Caenorhabditis elegans: one gene and its partner. The protein of the gene in region 1 purifies or fractionates together with the protein of each later gene. This does not show direct contact. Each region holds a gene or a part of one and is shown on either strand. Other genes may lie near its edges. The genes, in order: scyl-1 and syx-16.

Evidence for each region.
Region 2: the proteins of scyl-1 (region 1) and syx-16 fractionate together in Caenorhabditis elegans (co-fractionation; one large-scale study listed by BioGRID). This does not show direct contact.

Annotation. Positions count from the first base shown.
Region 1 is NC_003283.11:13,035,329-13,044,114, forward strand, and holds scyl-1 (Protein kinase domain-containing protein), read right to left. Parts: upstream 6,394-8,786; coding exon 6,274-6,393; intron 6,221-6,273; coding exon 6,098-6,220; intron 6,053-6,097; coding exon 5,930-6,052; intron 5,881-5,929; coding exon 5,583-5,880; intron 5,534-5,582; coding exon 5,140-5,533; intron 5,088-5,139; coding exon 4,417-5,087; intron 4,369-4,416; coding exon 4,181-4,368; intron 4,134-4,180; coding exon 3,869-4,133; intron 3,763-3,868; coding exon 3,613-3,762; intron 3,559-3,612; coding exon 3,428-3,558; 3' UTR 1,566-3,427; downstream 1-1,565. Other genes in the region: W07G4.2 (L-Fucosyltransferase), read right to left, coding at 1-29, 82-182, 228-334, 375-491, 536-696, 739-815, 1,064-1,109, 1,154-1,238; lap-2 (Putative aminopeptidase W07G4.4), read left to right, coding at 8,401-8,565, 8,617-8,771.
Region 2 is NC_003281.10:5,206,574-5,212,015, forward strand, and holds syx-16 (t-SNARE coiled-coil homology domain-containing protein), read right to left. Parts: upstream 2,537-5,442; 5' UTR 2,358-2,536; intron 2,311-2,357; coding exon 2,142-2,310; intron 2,013-2,141; coding exon 1,754-2,012; intron 1,704-1,753; coding exon 1,562-1,703; intron 1,515-1,561; coding exon 1,261-1,514; intron 1,216-1,260; coding exon 1,050-1,215; 3' UTR 994-1,049; downstream 1-993. Other genes in the region: ATPase morc-1, read right to left, coding at 1-46, 98-186, 242-321.

The DNA of each region.
Region 1 (8,786 bases):
AATGCGAGATTTTAAATTTTCTAGGGCTTCTAAAAAATGTTTCAGTTGTTTTTTAAATGATTTTTTTCAAAAATTATATACTTTTCTTTTCAATAAACTCAACCGCCCGTCTGACAAAAGTCGGATCCGATGCAGCAAAATCACCCCATACAAAGTCTCCTCTTCGTGTGTGTGCACAAATTCTAATAAGTGTTTAATCTACGATAAAAAGTTGAGCGGAAACTAACATGTAGGAGTTATTTTTTGATCTTGGCAACTTTCCGAATTCACTTTTTACATTTGGCTTCAAATATTTGATTAGTTCATGTTGCATTGAAGGGAAATACTTCCAAGACTAAATTTTAGATTTATAATAGCAATAATGTCATTAGAACCTGATAATAGTATCCAGCTAAATGTAAATACTGATCTTCATTATTTTCAAGAATCGTTGGTTCCACGTAGACACAACATCGTGAATTGAAGTTGATGAATTGTGTTGGTGGTGGAACCTTAACAATTTTCAAATTCAACTATATATTATTTTTAAACAAACCGTTCCATAAACAATTTCAAATTGATCTATCAATCCAGGAATAGCTTCTTTCACTTTGTTCAACATATTCAAATAAGTTTTATCTTCCACAAAGAACAAGGATTTACGATGTAGCTGCCTTGACATTCCCAATAAAGCAGCCATTTCAAAAATGTGATTTCCTGAAACTTATTTCTTTAAATTTTATGATTTTTTTCAAATACCTAATCTCATTCCTGCTGCGAGCCTGCTTGAAAGATATTTCTTGTTTTTATTAGAATTGGTGAAATACTCTGAAGTTCTGAAACATTTGAAAATGTCTACAGTTTTATAGAATAAGGCCAAATTTCTGGGTTAAATAGACAAACACCTATTCGGTAGTACGCTTCCGCCTCATGCCTACTTCAAACCTTCCCACTTTATCTACGCACCAAGCGCTTCCCTGCCCCTCTACATACCTCTTATCTGTCTATGTGCCTACCTCAAGCCTACCTATATTTATGTCTTTTTTTATTGTGTCTTGAAATAATTATCGGTGTTTGGACTTACATTGGTAACGTAGTTCTATTGCAAACATTTGTAGATAGAATTATTACTGTAATTGGAAGTTTGAACTTTTGAATGTTCCTATTACCCTACCAGTTAATATCAGAAAAATTACAAATAACCGAGTTTTGAACATTTTCGTAAGAAGTGAGGGTGTTGGTGGTTGAATTTCGGTCATTTAGTAAAGCTGAAAGAAGAAGAGATGAAACAGGAGTAGTTACAAAATGCATGTTTCGATGTTTCGTAATTGATGTGATCCCTTTCCAATACATCGAATCACAGCATGAGTCCAACATGTATGGGCTGCACATTTTTGTCCCAAAAGAACATCAAGTGTAATTTTGTTTTCAAACATACCTCAAGTCTGCCTACGTACCTTCCCATATTTGCCTACGAGCCTATCTCATGCCTACCTACTTGCCTAAACTTTTGTTAGTGTCAAAAATTACCTTTTGCACCACAGCAACACAGCATGGGTCCGACGATTCAATAGTAAAACCAAGTGTACATTTTTTAAAGTTTTATTTTAACCATCATAATTTTTTTGAAAAGAAAGAACATGAAATGCGAGCAATTTTTGTTTGGAAGCGAAGGAAATGAGAAAAAGAAAGAAAAACATGAATAGAATACGTTAATGGATAGAATCACAGGAAATTGTTTGATGTACTTACAAGGGAAGTCTTTGAGGGGGTCCGTAGATTTGGGGTTCTCATGCTAAAATTCCTACAGAAGAGTGTTAGTTATGATCTCTCCAAAAAATTTAGCTGCCCCGGTCAAGTTTCAGCAAAGTTATGACGTTTTGAAAATTCAGTTAAAAACACCATTGAAATCCACTGTCTTACCATGCAGTCCACGCAAATCTCAGCTTGCGTGACCACCGAAAATGTGACACCCACAACATTGAGTTGAAAAATGTCCTCGGTGGCCGAGTTGGGAGTGCGCGCGTCTGATAAGATTTAAGCTTTGGTTCGATTCCTTCTATTTTTGTAAGTTGAATAAAGTTGTAAAACAACTCATTCAAACATTTTTGCGCATTTTTAAAGTGATTTTATTCTTATTCGGGAACCTAGAATCATTGTCCGCACTTTTTGGAAATTTTTATTTTTTTCATTTTTGCTCAAAATTTCTTGATCAACTCCAAGCAAAAAAATCAAAAAATTTCATTTTTCTAAACAATTATGAAATTGCTATGTTGTTGTTCAGAAATGTATGAAACGTACATTACACAAGTTTTAACTCTCTATTCGCAAGTAAACCGTCGAAATGATCTACATCTCACGAACTTTGTGCAAAATATTTAACCAACTTTGAAGTTGCATAACTTCATTGAGATAAATTATTGTGAAAAATGATCAACTAACAAAATGTTTGTTGAATAACAGTGAACAAAGTTTTAGTTATAAACTTTTTGATACCTCCAGCTACAAAGAAGAAAACAAGGTTGGCATTTGGCTAGTTTTTCTATTAACATTGTGTTTTGGAAAACGGTCACAACTTTTTGGTGGCTGAAGGTATCAAAAAGTTTATAACTAAAACTTTGTTCACTGTTATTCAACAAACATTTTGTTAGTTGATCATTTTTCACAATAATTTATCTCAACGAAGTTATGCAACTTCAAAGTTGGTTAAATATTTTGCACAAAGTTCGTGAGATGTAGATCATTTCGACGGTTTACTTGCGAATAGAGAGTTAAAACTTGTGTAATGTACGTTTCATACATTTCTGAACAACAACATAGCAATTTCATAATTGTTTAGAAAAATGAAATTTTTTGATTTTTTTGCTTGGAGTTGATCAAGAAATTTTGAGCAAAAATGAAAAAAATAAAAATTTCCAAAAAGTGCGGACAATGATTCTAGGTTCCCGAATAAGAATAAAATCACTTTAAAAAGGCGCAAAAATGTTTGAATAGGTTGTTTAAAACTTTATTCAACTTACAAAAATATTTCAAAAATAGAAGGAATCGAACCAAAGCCTAAATCTTATCAGACGCGCGCACTCCCAACTCGGCCACCGAGGACATTTTTCAACTCAATGTGGTGGGTGTCACATTTTCGGTGGTCACGCAAGCTGAGATTTGCGTGGATTGCATGGTAAGACAGTGGATTTCAATGGTGTTTTTAACTGAAATTTCAAAACGTCATAACTTTGCTGAAACTTGACCGGGGCAGCTAAATTTTTTGGAGAGATCATAACTAACACTCTTCTGTAGGAATTTTAGCATGAGAACCCCAAATCTACGGACCTCCTCAAAGACTTCCCTTGTTAGGATTTGATACAAATGGGGTCGAATAAAACAGTTTTAATTACAAAAATGTGAAATACAAGTAGGGTGATCTCTACTACAAAACGAAGCGAGTTTCTTGTTACCAGTCAGCAAAATCGTCCATTTTCTTTTCTACAGATGCCAATTTCATTGCTCCGGCAGATTTTTTGCGATCCATTTGTTCTTTGCGACGAGCTTCATTTCTAGCCTGCATCTCGGCTCGACGAGCATCTGGAAAATGAAAAATGCAAGCGGATTGTTATTCTCCAACAACGGTGACCGTACCTTTATCATCCTTCATTTTCGTTGGTTGGAGTACTGCAGTTGGCTGAAGCACATTGCTTGACATACTGTTATCACCCCATCCATCATCGTCCCATCCTTTGTTAGCTGATGAATTATTAGTTGTTGGTAAAGGATCATCGAATCCCCATCCTGAAAATATACATGTTTTCAGATAACATTAAAAAAAGATCAAACAAGTTTCATAACTAAATTCTACGTGAGAAAATAAAACATATGCTAAGGAAATAATATTTACCAGTATTTGTAGAAGAGGAAGAATTGTTCATGAGAGCATTCAGCGAATTCGGCTTGACTGAAGATCCCGCAGCTGGAGGTGCTGATATTCCGAGAAGTGCATCAATATTGTCATCAATAGCTTTTTTGGTTTGTTTCTGAGCAGATGATCCTGCCAGATTCGATCCTAAGTTTAATCGTCCAATTGTTGGCTTCTTCGCGGCTGCAGACGAACTAGATGATGACTTTTTGACTCCAGGAATGGGAGATGATGTGGCAGTTGCTATCTGAAATAAGACAATATGGTTTAAGTAAATAAAACCTTAATTCTTACTGGAGTATCCCAACCAACTCCCCAGTCATCAGCATCATTAGACTTCGTGTTGATATCAGCCCAATCATCAATAGCAGAATCATTTGAATCCTTCACTGCGAACATATCTCCTCCATCTGTTAAATCTCCCCAACCATCATTTGTTGCAGGTTTAGCAGGGGTTGGTTTGAGAACTGTGCTTGATTTTTCTGAAAATAAAAATATTAACAACTTATTGAAAAAATTGCAGAACAAACCTTTCTCCGCCGTTGGGTTAGGTGTTACTGGTCTTGAGGAAGTATCAGCAGTAGCTGGCGCTCCTGGTTTGACTTCTGCTGGAGGTGGTCCCTTATAAAACTTTCCAGATAATGACTTGAGAGCCCAACTTGCCCATTGTGGAACTTTCTCGTGGTCCAGAATAGAACTTGCTCCGGCTTTAACTCCAGCTTCGAGTTCAGGAATGCAAGCTGGATTTTCAGATGCTTTTTCAAGTTTTTCAAGGAATCCACGAATAGCCTTGAATGCTTGATCTCTAACTTGTTTTTCAGGATCACAAGTCAACGGAATGAGACTCGGAACAATTCGGTTGGAAATTTCAACGAGTGGATAGAACTGTTGAGTTGCAGAAAGCGCTAGAACTGAAGCCATTCTTGATGGTGCAAACGGATCCTTCAGAGCTCTAGTAAATGCGCTTATTAATATTCCTTGTCGTTTAGCAGGTGCAATCAGGTGTCCGATCTTCCCGAGGCAAATGGTAGTGTTGGTTCGAATACCTCCATGCTCATCTCCTCCTTGTAAACGGGCAAGATACTTCATCAATTCGACATTTAAATTATTGTAGTTGAGTTTCTCTGCCAATGAAACCATTGCTTTGACTGTACTTTCGCGAACTGCTGGATTTGTGTCCAAGAAACCAGATGTTAAATTTCTGAAATTAAACATTTAAATAAGAATTTCAGATTTCAGAGAAAAAATCTAACCCAAATATTTTGTCGTTCAAAATTTGTGGAGTCAAATGAGGTGCAAATTCATCGATTCTTTCTAACAACTTGACTCTTGTAGTTCTATCTGGACTGCCAAAAAGTTTGCACAAACATGGAACAATTGTTCTCTGATATTCTGCTTCATCAAGAAGACGTCCAAGTTTGAACAGAGGAATTAAAATATTCGGTCCTGCATCTCCATATTCATAGGTAAGAATAAGTTTTGGAAGAATTTTATATTTTGCTACGTCTTCTGGGAAGATATCAATATTTTCTCGAAGATGCATGAAGAACGATTGTTTTTCGCTAGCTTCCTTCAGTTCGAATTCTTCCAGGAAAAGTAGAGTATCCACGAATTTATTCTTCAAGTATCCCCCAGTGAGTCGATATTCTGAAATCTTTGAAACTGAATAAAAACAACAAAATTAATTTTGGATTATCTTTAATAATATCACAAACTGCAAGTCGTGCAGCTGATTGTGCTCCAATTTTTTTGTATAATTCGTGTATCCGTTGTGGTATCTTCCCTGGAGCCTGTGGTCTTGTGATAGCGTCATTGAATCCATTGAAAACTTCCCATAAAACAATTGCTAATTGATTTAAATCTGTCTGTGGACTAGTGAATCCAGTGACCAAATGAAGTCCACCAATTTTCCAATCTCCTCCGGCTGTTACAAATACTCCTTTACGCAGATTTTCGTGACTTAGTTTAGCTTCGTGCATAAATTTTAGAGCGTTCTGAACAAAAATAGATTATTTGTAAGTTTACAACTATTAAAAAACATACTAATAACTGAAACATTCCCCAGGAAACAACAAATTCTTTTTGGCTTTCAGTGAGACCGGCTTCCTTTAAATACAGCTCCAGTGGTTTACATTTTTCCGTGACGAGGTAGAAAGTTCCTTCTAGCTGAAAAATCCGTTCGTGTGAAGTCATCAAATTGCGAAAACCCACTTCAATACTATCTAAATAAGTGATAATGTTAGGATGGCGCATGGTTTTCAGCTTTTGTGCTTGTTGTTTTAACGTTGAACTTCGGTTGTCCCAGAAGATTGTTGCGAGTTCACCGGGTTCAGCCTACAATATTTATTGAAAATATTCATTGAACAGCTAAAAATGCAAAAACTCACTTTCTTAAAGCTATTTCCGATCGAAACTCGATCGAAAAAGTGTTCTTCTGCTCCAGGAATGTCATATGGGAATTGGGACTTCGGATCCCGTTGGAAGAAGGATGACAACACCGATGCCATCCCTAAAAGTGATCGAAATTTATAAAATAATCTCTCCGTAAAATTGAAACGCTGGAAAACCGGTCGGGTTACGTGGAAATCGAATTTGAACACATTTAATAGAAAAAGGGGCAAGATTGTCACTACTGACGCATCGATTGCAGTTTCTCTGCGTCTCGTCTCTCTTTCACTCACTTTAAAAGATGAGAATAGACTCATTCTCGTTTATTTTGGCTTTGTTTTTCCTAGTTTCTCTGGTTTCTCAATGAATTTATATAAATCTTACCGAAAATAGTGAAATGCGATAGAACTGAAACATAATAATGTTTTATCAAATTACTAGAGCTTCAGTTTACATTTAGTTTTTCAGAATGTCTAGAAATGATCTGGTATTTAATGAAAAACATTGAAAGAGACAAAGAAAAATATATTCGAAAATGATTCAAAAGAATTTTAAAAACCAGTGACTGTACTTCTCGTGCCGATGCCCATCACTTTGGTCGCATCTGCGCCTTTAAAATCTACAGTACCCTTGCTCAAAATTCTTCGATAATTTTTTTAGCTCTCACTATTTAGTCAGCACTTTTCCTTTTTTTCCATATCTTTTAATGATTTTTCTCCTCGTATATATTAAATTCCTTCTATTTTTGATCGTTTGATCACAATAATGCTTCTGGAATGTCAGTCACAAAATAGTACACCTTCGAAAACGCGATAAAGGTGGGAAATTCCGTGATGACAACATTTTTTGGCTCGCAAATCAAGTTCTGCACAGCCCCGCGTGTAAGTGTGAATATTTGTGTGTATGTCTTACACCTGATAACACATTTCTCTGAAAACTGACGACCTAATCGCCTCCGGCCTGAACCAACATGCCCTATGGTGTCGAATGATGCAAAGCGCTCGAAAATTTATAGTTTCGAACTTTCATATTCCCATTTCTAATTCAAAAAATTTGCGGAATTTTTTCCCATACTCATTTTATAGAAAAAGACCAGAACGTCAACCAGTCTTCCGCTAAAATGTGTATAAACGGGTCAGTGTTTATCAATAGACAGCCCGAAAACTCACTCGACCAATACTGCTTTTTTCGAGATTTCTAAGCGGAAAATGGAAATCGATTTGTTGTCATGTGATGTTTGCTGCGAAACGTTCGCGAAAATTAATTGTTTCCGTTTCTATCAAAAGAACAAAATTCAATGTATCCGTTTCTATAATTACAAAAGAACGCATTGTTACAGAATAGGTTTTTTTGTCAATTTTGTATGCTTTGCAATCTTTTTGCGCTCAAATTTCTGATCATTTTACTGTGAGACCATTCTCTGATTCTTCCGCAAAATAAAAATTTCGACATCGACCTCGACGTTTATTTAAATAAGTTCTAATATCATTATTTTCATGACGTGTGCTCAGGTTTTCCTTGAAATCTAATTATAAGTCACATATTTCTCTAATTTCCTCTGGAAAAGTCTCGAAATTTGGCGCCATCAGGAAACCTACGTCAATTTCATTTTCTCCGAATCTCCGCCCACTTTCTATCATTTATAGCGACTAGTCGCTCCAAAAGTTTCAGTGTCTGCCGGTGATTTCAGTGCTCTCCCATGCTTGTACAAACACGCAATAAATTATAAATCAAATTAGCAGACAGCCGACTTGACGGCGTTTATCAGCCTGTCAGTCAGCCAGCTGAGAGAGTAGATGACATCGCAGATGTGTCCCTCCTTTTCCTTGTTTCAACATATGCTACTGATAAGCGTTAATTAAAGACGCACATCGTTTTTCATTTAATGATTTTTATTCCAGAATTGCGTGCACATGACTGAATTGAACTCTTTTCGTTCAATGAGCGCAGTATTTTCTATTTATGGCTTTATCGAAAAGAACTAGCCTGCCATCTCTTTTGCTCCTACAAACTTCATAACCACTTCTCTTCAAACCTTGAAACTCAATTTCTTATATATCCTCCTTCTTCCCGCCTTCATATTTCTCATTTTATTTATATCGCTTTCAGGGTATATTTCCTTTTCAATGTCACTTCAATCCCTCCTATCTACAAAAATAGTCCGCGCGACATCAATCGCCGACGCCGCTTTTGATGCTGTCGTGCTCGTCGGAAGTCAGGACAATGTTCAACAGTTCGGAGCGATCCAACAGGTCTCCGCAATCGCTCCAGCCGTTAACAATTTCTTAAAGGTTCGCCCTTTTCTCAATAATCTCTAATAATACCCTAATCTTCCTTTTCAGCTACACTCTGGTGCGTTCAACTCAACGTCTCTCGTTCAAGTCGACTCATCTGTCGTTCCATCTGGACGACTGATTCTATCAGGAACTGGAAATGTGTCACGTGACTATGATGATGTCCGTCGTTACCAGGCTGCTGCTCGGAAGGGAATTTCTATGTTAGTACTAATGTG
Region 2 (5,442 bases), on another chromosome or scaffold:
AGTCCATCATCACGAAGTTCAAGAAACTGTTCATTATTGATGTCCACTGTAAATATAAACATTTTCTCTCTACTGAAATTAACAATTCAAAACTTACGAAAATCGATGTGAAGATCTCTCGCATCTGCGTCATACGCATTATCCACTAGCTCTGCTATTGCCGACAAGGGACCAATGTGGGTGTGACTGAAATTTTTATGGGTATTGATTTTGAATGTGTTTTAGAAAGATTAAAATTTACCTGTTGCTTTTCAGGAAGTTGAGGTTCACTGAAGCTTTTTCCAGCTTTTTGTAGTCATCCCCATTAGTGTCATTGGGCATCATTATTTTCGTAAATGCTGAAATATATTTAAATCAATCATTTTTGGATAATAGTCCTTGAAGAAAAGGGTGATCGACGGAGAAAAAGGTAAACTTGAGAAAAGGTTAAAGACATTGAAAAATAGAGGCCCGAACAGAGGACAAATGGAATTTTGTGGGCCATTCGAAACACTTTAGGCCAATGCAGCATATATCCGGTATTAAAAAGCCATTATTTGCGCCCAAAAGAAAAAAATCGTGAAAGGAAAACACAACAACAACATTTTTCGAAATATCTCGCCCAAAAGCTCCGCGACGCGTGCTGCGGGCGGTCCGAAATGCGGCCTGGGTCTCGAAGCGACAAGTGTTACGGTAGTCAATTTCAAGGCTTTTGGCGGAAAGAGAAAGAAAAATTGGCTTTGGCGTTAATCAGTTGATTTTAAACGAATTTAGACGGAAGAAAATGACTAAATTATCAGAGGAATTCGAAGAGTAACATGATCCGAGTGAAAATGCGGCAACATAATGAATCCCTGCTCTAGAGTGATGTGCACGAGTTTTATATAGAGAACATTTTTAATTACAGATTAAGTAGTGGAAGAATTTTAAATTTGAATAAAACAAGGAAATATCTGCATTACGGAATCTAACCGGAATCTAAAATTAGAATTTCATTGATTGAACTAGAGAAATCAATAAAATACCCGGTTTATTCAAAAAATATAAATAAAACTACTGAAGTAAAAGAATTACAATTTAGTAACAATAATAAGAATCAGTACAAAAATAATGGCAACAGTGAGCATACAAATACAATGCATTTTTTTGTTTCCTTTTTGATATCGTTCCGCTTTGAAGACATCTTCAACTGCTTTCGACACACGAATCGAGGTCTGTTCAACATTATAGTCTATTCTGAAATTAAAATTTACTATAATTGACCTTAAAGCTTCGTTTTACCTATCAATGACGCTTCCTTGATCTACAATCATTTCTGATAAATCCTGGAAGAGTGTATTTAATTCTCTAATTGATGTGTTCACAGCCATCACTTCCTTTTCGCGCTCTCGAACTTCTCGATCGTTATTCATAAATTGTTGAAGCTGGGCCATTGATATTTCTGTAGATGGTGACACATCTAGCTCAGCCCAATTGGGAGCATCAATCAGTGGATCTGTTGTGATAAGGTAATTGTCCACGTTACGGGAACGATTCTGAAACAATTTTGATGTGCTGAATGAAACTTTTTCAAATCGCTTACCTGGATATCACTCAAATATTTCAGTTGTCTTCCTCTAAATTCATCGGTAATTTGGCTAAGTGTTAGGCTCAGGGTTGCAGCAGCATTTTCTCTTAACTTTCGCTGCATAGGTTTTTCTTTGTTATGACTTCCAGATATCATTCTGGAAAATTTTGAATTACCTAAGTCAAACCGAGTCTGTAAATAACAAACCTGATTAGCCTTTGACAATGTGTGAGCATTTGAGTGATTTGCTCCGTCGTCTGTTCCATTTGCTTCTCTTCTTTTTCGAATGCTTCATCTCCAAAATTAGGTCGCGAAATGTGTTTTCTCTGTGCCTCTCCAAGTTCATCTAGTCTTCTCTGAACTCTTTCAACTTCGAATTCTACTTGATCAGCAGTATGAATCCAAACTGGCTCTTCATCGGATTCTTGTCGCCCATCTTCAAGTTCCACTAAGGCCATTCGTTCTTCTGAAAAATACATTATTGCAGACTGCAATTCGCAGTACAGAATTTGATCATTTGAAAAGAAGAGATTTTAGAAAAACCTATTTAATAAAAGTCATTTAATGAATATTTGAACCAATTCAGAATACTCACCATCACCACGACTCCTCACAATTATATCTGTATCATCTTTATAAATTAATCGACTTTGATGAGCATTTGAACGTAAAAGCATAAAAACTTCTGTCAAATTTCTCGTTGTTCCGTAAATTTCATTTTTCTTTGCAGCATTTGCAGCAGCGGTAACAGAAGAGGAAGCCATCTGGAAAAAATCAATAAAATGCTAGAATAAAAACGTTGCAAATTTACTTCCAGAGTGACGTTATCCAGCGAACGACATCAATTTGGAGAGGAAAAAGGGGAATGTGCGATGGAGCGTGTTTACTTTGGAATTTTCTTGCATATCGGCTGCGATAAATGGAAAGAAAAAAAGTTGCCGGCGAGCGAAAGAATCATTCAACCCACATTTATTGTTTTATGAAAAGCCTGAACGCAAAATTTTGCGATTTCAGCTCCGAAAATACGACGCCCGGTCTCGACACGATAATATTTATTAAATGCGAAAAGGTGTGCGCCTTTAAAGGTTACTGTAGTTTGAAATTTTTCATACATAGTATTTCTCTCGAGTTGTTCAAATTCAAGTGTTTTCATATTATTTCGCTTTAGTTTTTAATAAAAAATTAAATTTTCTTCAAAACATTTAGAAAATTGATAATCAACACCAAAAGTTTAAATTTACAGTACTCTTCAAAGGTGCACACTTCTTTTATTTAACGAAAACTTGTCGTGCTGATTTTTGGCACCGAATTTTTGTGCAAAAATCGTAGATTGTAATTTTGAAAATAAATTTCTAAATTTAAAATATTAGCAACAGAAATGAAAAAATTAACAACTTTCTGAAAAACTCAGTCTGGAAAATAAAAACTAAAATATGTAGGCAAGTCGAAAATTTTGAAAACAATTTTTTTTTTCGATTCTCAAAACAGTGGAAAACAACATCCTTTGGCATTGATACATCAGACTTGACTGTTTTTAGCTTTTAATTGATAAAACACTCAAACGTATGCAACGTTTGGACCTGAAAAGCTCCCAATGACAAGATCAAAGTGAGAATGATTAGTGAATAGATATGCAGGTATGTATGAGATTGAAGCACCGATCAGACCAGGAAGCAAAGGAATAGTACTTTTAGAAGAATATTATAAGGTTTCAAATTTTATCTAAAGAATTTTTCATCTTCAATTCGTGCTCAATGACCGGTGCTAATGCTGTAAAGTCAAAAACCGCTATGGCCAATTCCGTTGGTGTAGCTCATGCTGATGTGTCCAGTGGCATTGTTCAGAAAGAAAATACGTTCGGCTGAAAACTGAAATAATTCGAAAAAAATAAATAGTAAGATTGTACACTGTGTTCGTAAAAAACAAGAACTTATTGCCAAGAAAAATTTTAGTTTTTGCAAGTCCAACGCACGTTTTTTCAGAATTTCTAAACTTTTCTTTTTCGCAAATTCTGCAAATAATCACAACACATTGTTTCTTTTCAGTGGAAATATTTTACAAAATTGGAAAAGAAAAAATTGCACTTTAAGTCTTGAAAGATGTGTGACTTTTTACATTTTATGGTGACTCAGATCAATCTTCATGCATTTCAGAATGTGAATTTACACATTCTACGAGCAGAAAAAACGGCATGCGCCTTTAAATTGTCGTATCACATTTTAAACAATAAAATTCAAAAAAGAACAAAAGTGTTTTAACGGAGGAATAATATATTTTATGATTGTGCACAAGAAAGTAGAATGCTTTACAATAATCGAACACTTTACATCGAGATGTGTGGAGGAGGCACACAAAGAAATAAATCATCTATTACGTGGACATTTAGTGATTGTATCACAATGAGAGACTTAGAAAACCAAGGTTACTGTATATTTACCCAAAAGTTCTTCAACAACGACCAATTATCAGATCGTTTTTTGAAAATTTTTTGTTGCAACATTGAAAATGCTCGAATTTCTGATCATAATTTTCAAACAGTAGTGTAAAAACGAAATTAGGGTTATTAGCCACACTGGTAAACAGTTGCTTACCAACATAAATAATTGTTTAGTTCACATGAGAGAATGATATGAAACAAAGTGAAATATATCAATCACAAAGACGACAAGTGACCCTTTAGCCGCAAAAAAGTTCGTCAGACAGCTGTTACATAACCGAATAAAATAGAAACATTTTTACAAATATCTTATATCGACAGATTGGCATCAAATATTTGAAAAATTAAATTACTAAGCGTTGTCCTTTAGTTTTCAAACTATTTTTATTGAAGAGTTAATAAAAAGTGTATTGAAATTAAAAAAGAAAAGAAAACACACACCGTAATACTGTAGTTGAAGGGTACTGTAGTTGAAAAGTTTTGCGCGCGGCAGGACCTACGGGTCGCATTTATTGCAATTAGGTAATTACCAAAAGTGTTCTATATTAAAAATGCTATTTTATAAAGCATTGCAACAAAACTCACGTACTAAATAAAACGTTCTGACCGTTGCACTCTCCCTTTCCCCATAGACTCGTCTTTCCTTTCGCATTGCGAAAAACCACCGAGCGTCGTGGCGGGCGCTTGTGAGTCAGCTTCTTGACGGTAGATAAGTGTGGATGGAGTGAGAGGAGGAGTCCTGTGTATGTCGTTGTCTACGTCGACCGAGCGTCCGTGCCAAGCGCTACGTCACCAGGGGATAACTGTCGGAAGGCGGTTAGTCCCGGGTGCATAAGGAGTCGTGGATGGTTCAGGACCGAAAGGTAGCAGACAAAAGCGACCGCGTGGTGCAGTGGCCGGACCGCGCTTGTGAGTTGACACACATACGCAGCCTTCTCGATACCTTCAGACCACTTATCATTTTTGGATTTTTTTAGGATCTTGTTGTTTCAATAATACAACTGACGTGAGACATGTCTGTAGGCGTAGGTAAGGTTGATCTAGGCGTGTAGGCAGAGATGAGGGATTTTTTTTAGCAAGGGGAGTTTTTGCATTCAGATTGAAAAGAACATGGATAGAAGTAGATGGACACCACTTTTATACTGCAAAACGACACATTTCCTGGAAATATTTTAATGGTGTGCGGGGGCTGTGAGAGAACAACGTTATGGATGAAGAGGATGGTTGGCCGAAAATTCTTTATTTATGAATCACAGCGAAAATATAAACATTCTCGGCTTTATCACAGCAGATTCATTTCCAGTGAAATGAAAAAATTGAAAAAAAAAACGGCTCCTGCCTACATGCCTACCTACAGGAATGCCTCTGTCCCACTTTTTCGTTTGAATTTGAATTTAATTTTATATGGAAACACAGGCTTTTTAATTTTTTTTCATAGCTCAATTGAAATTCTTCATAT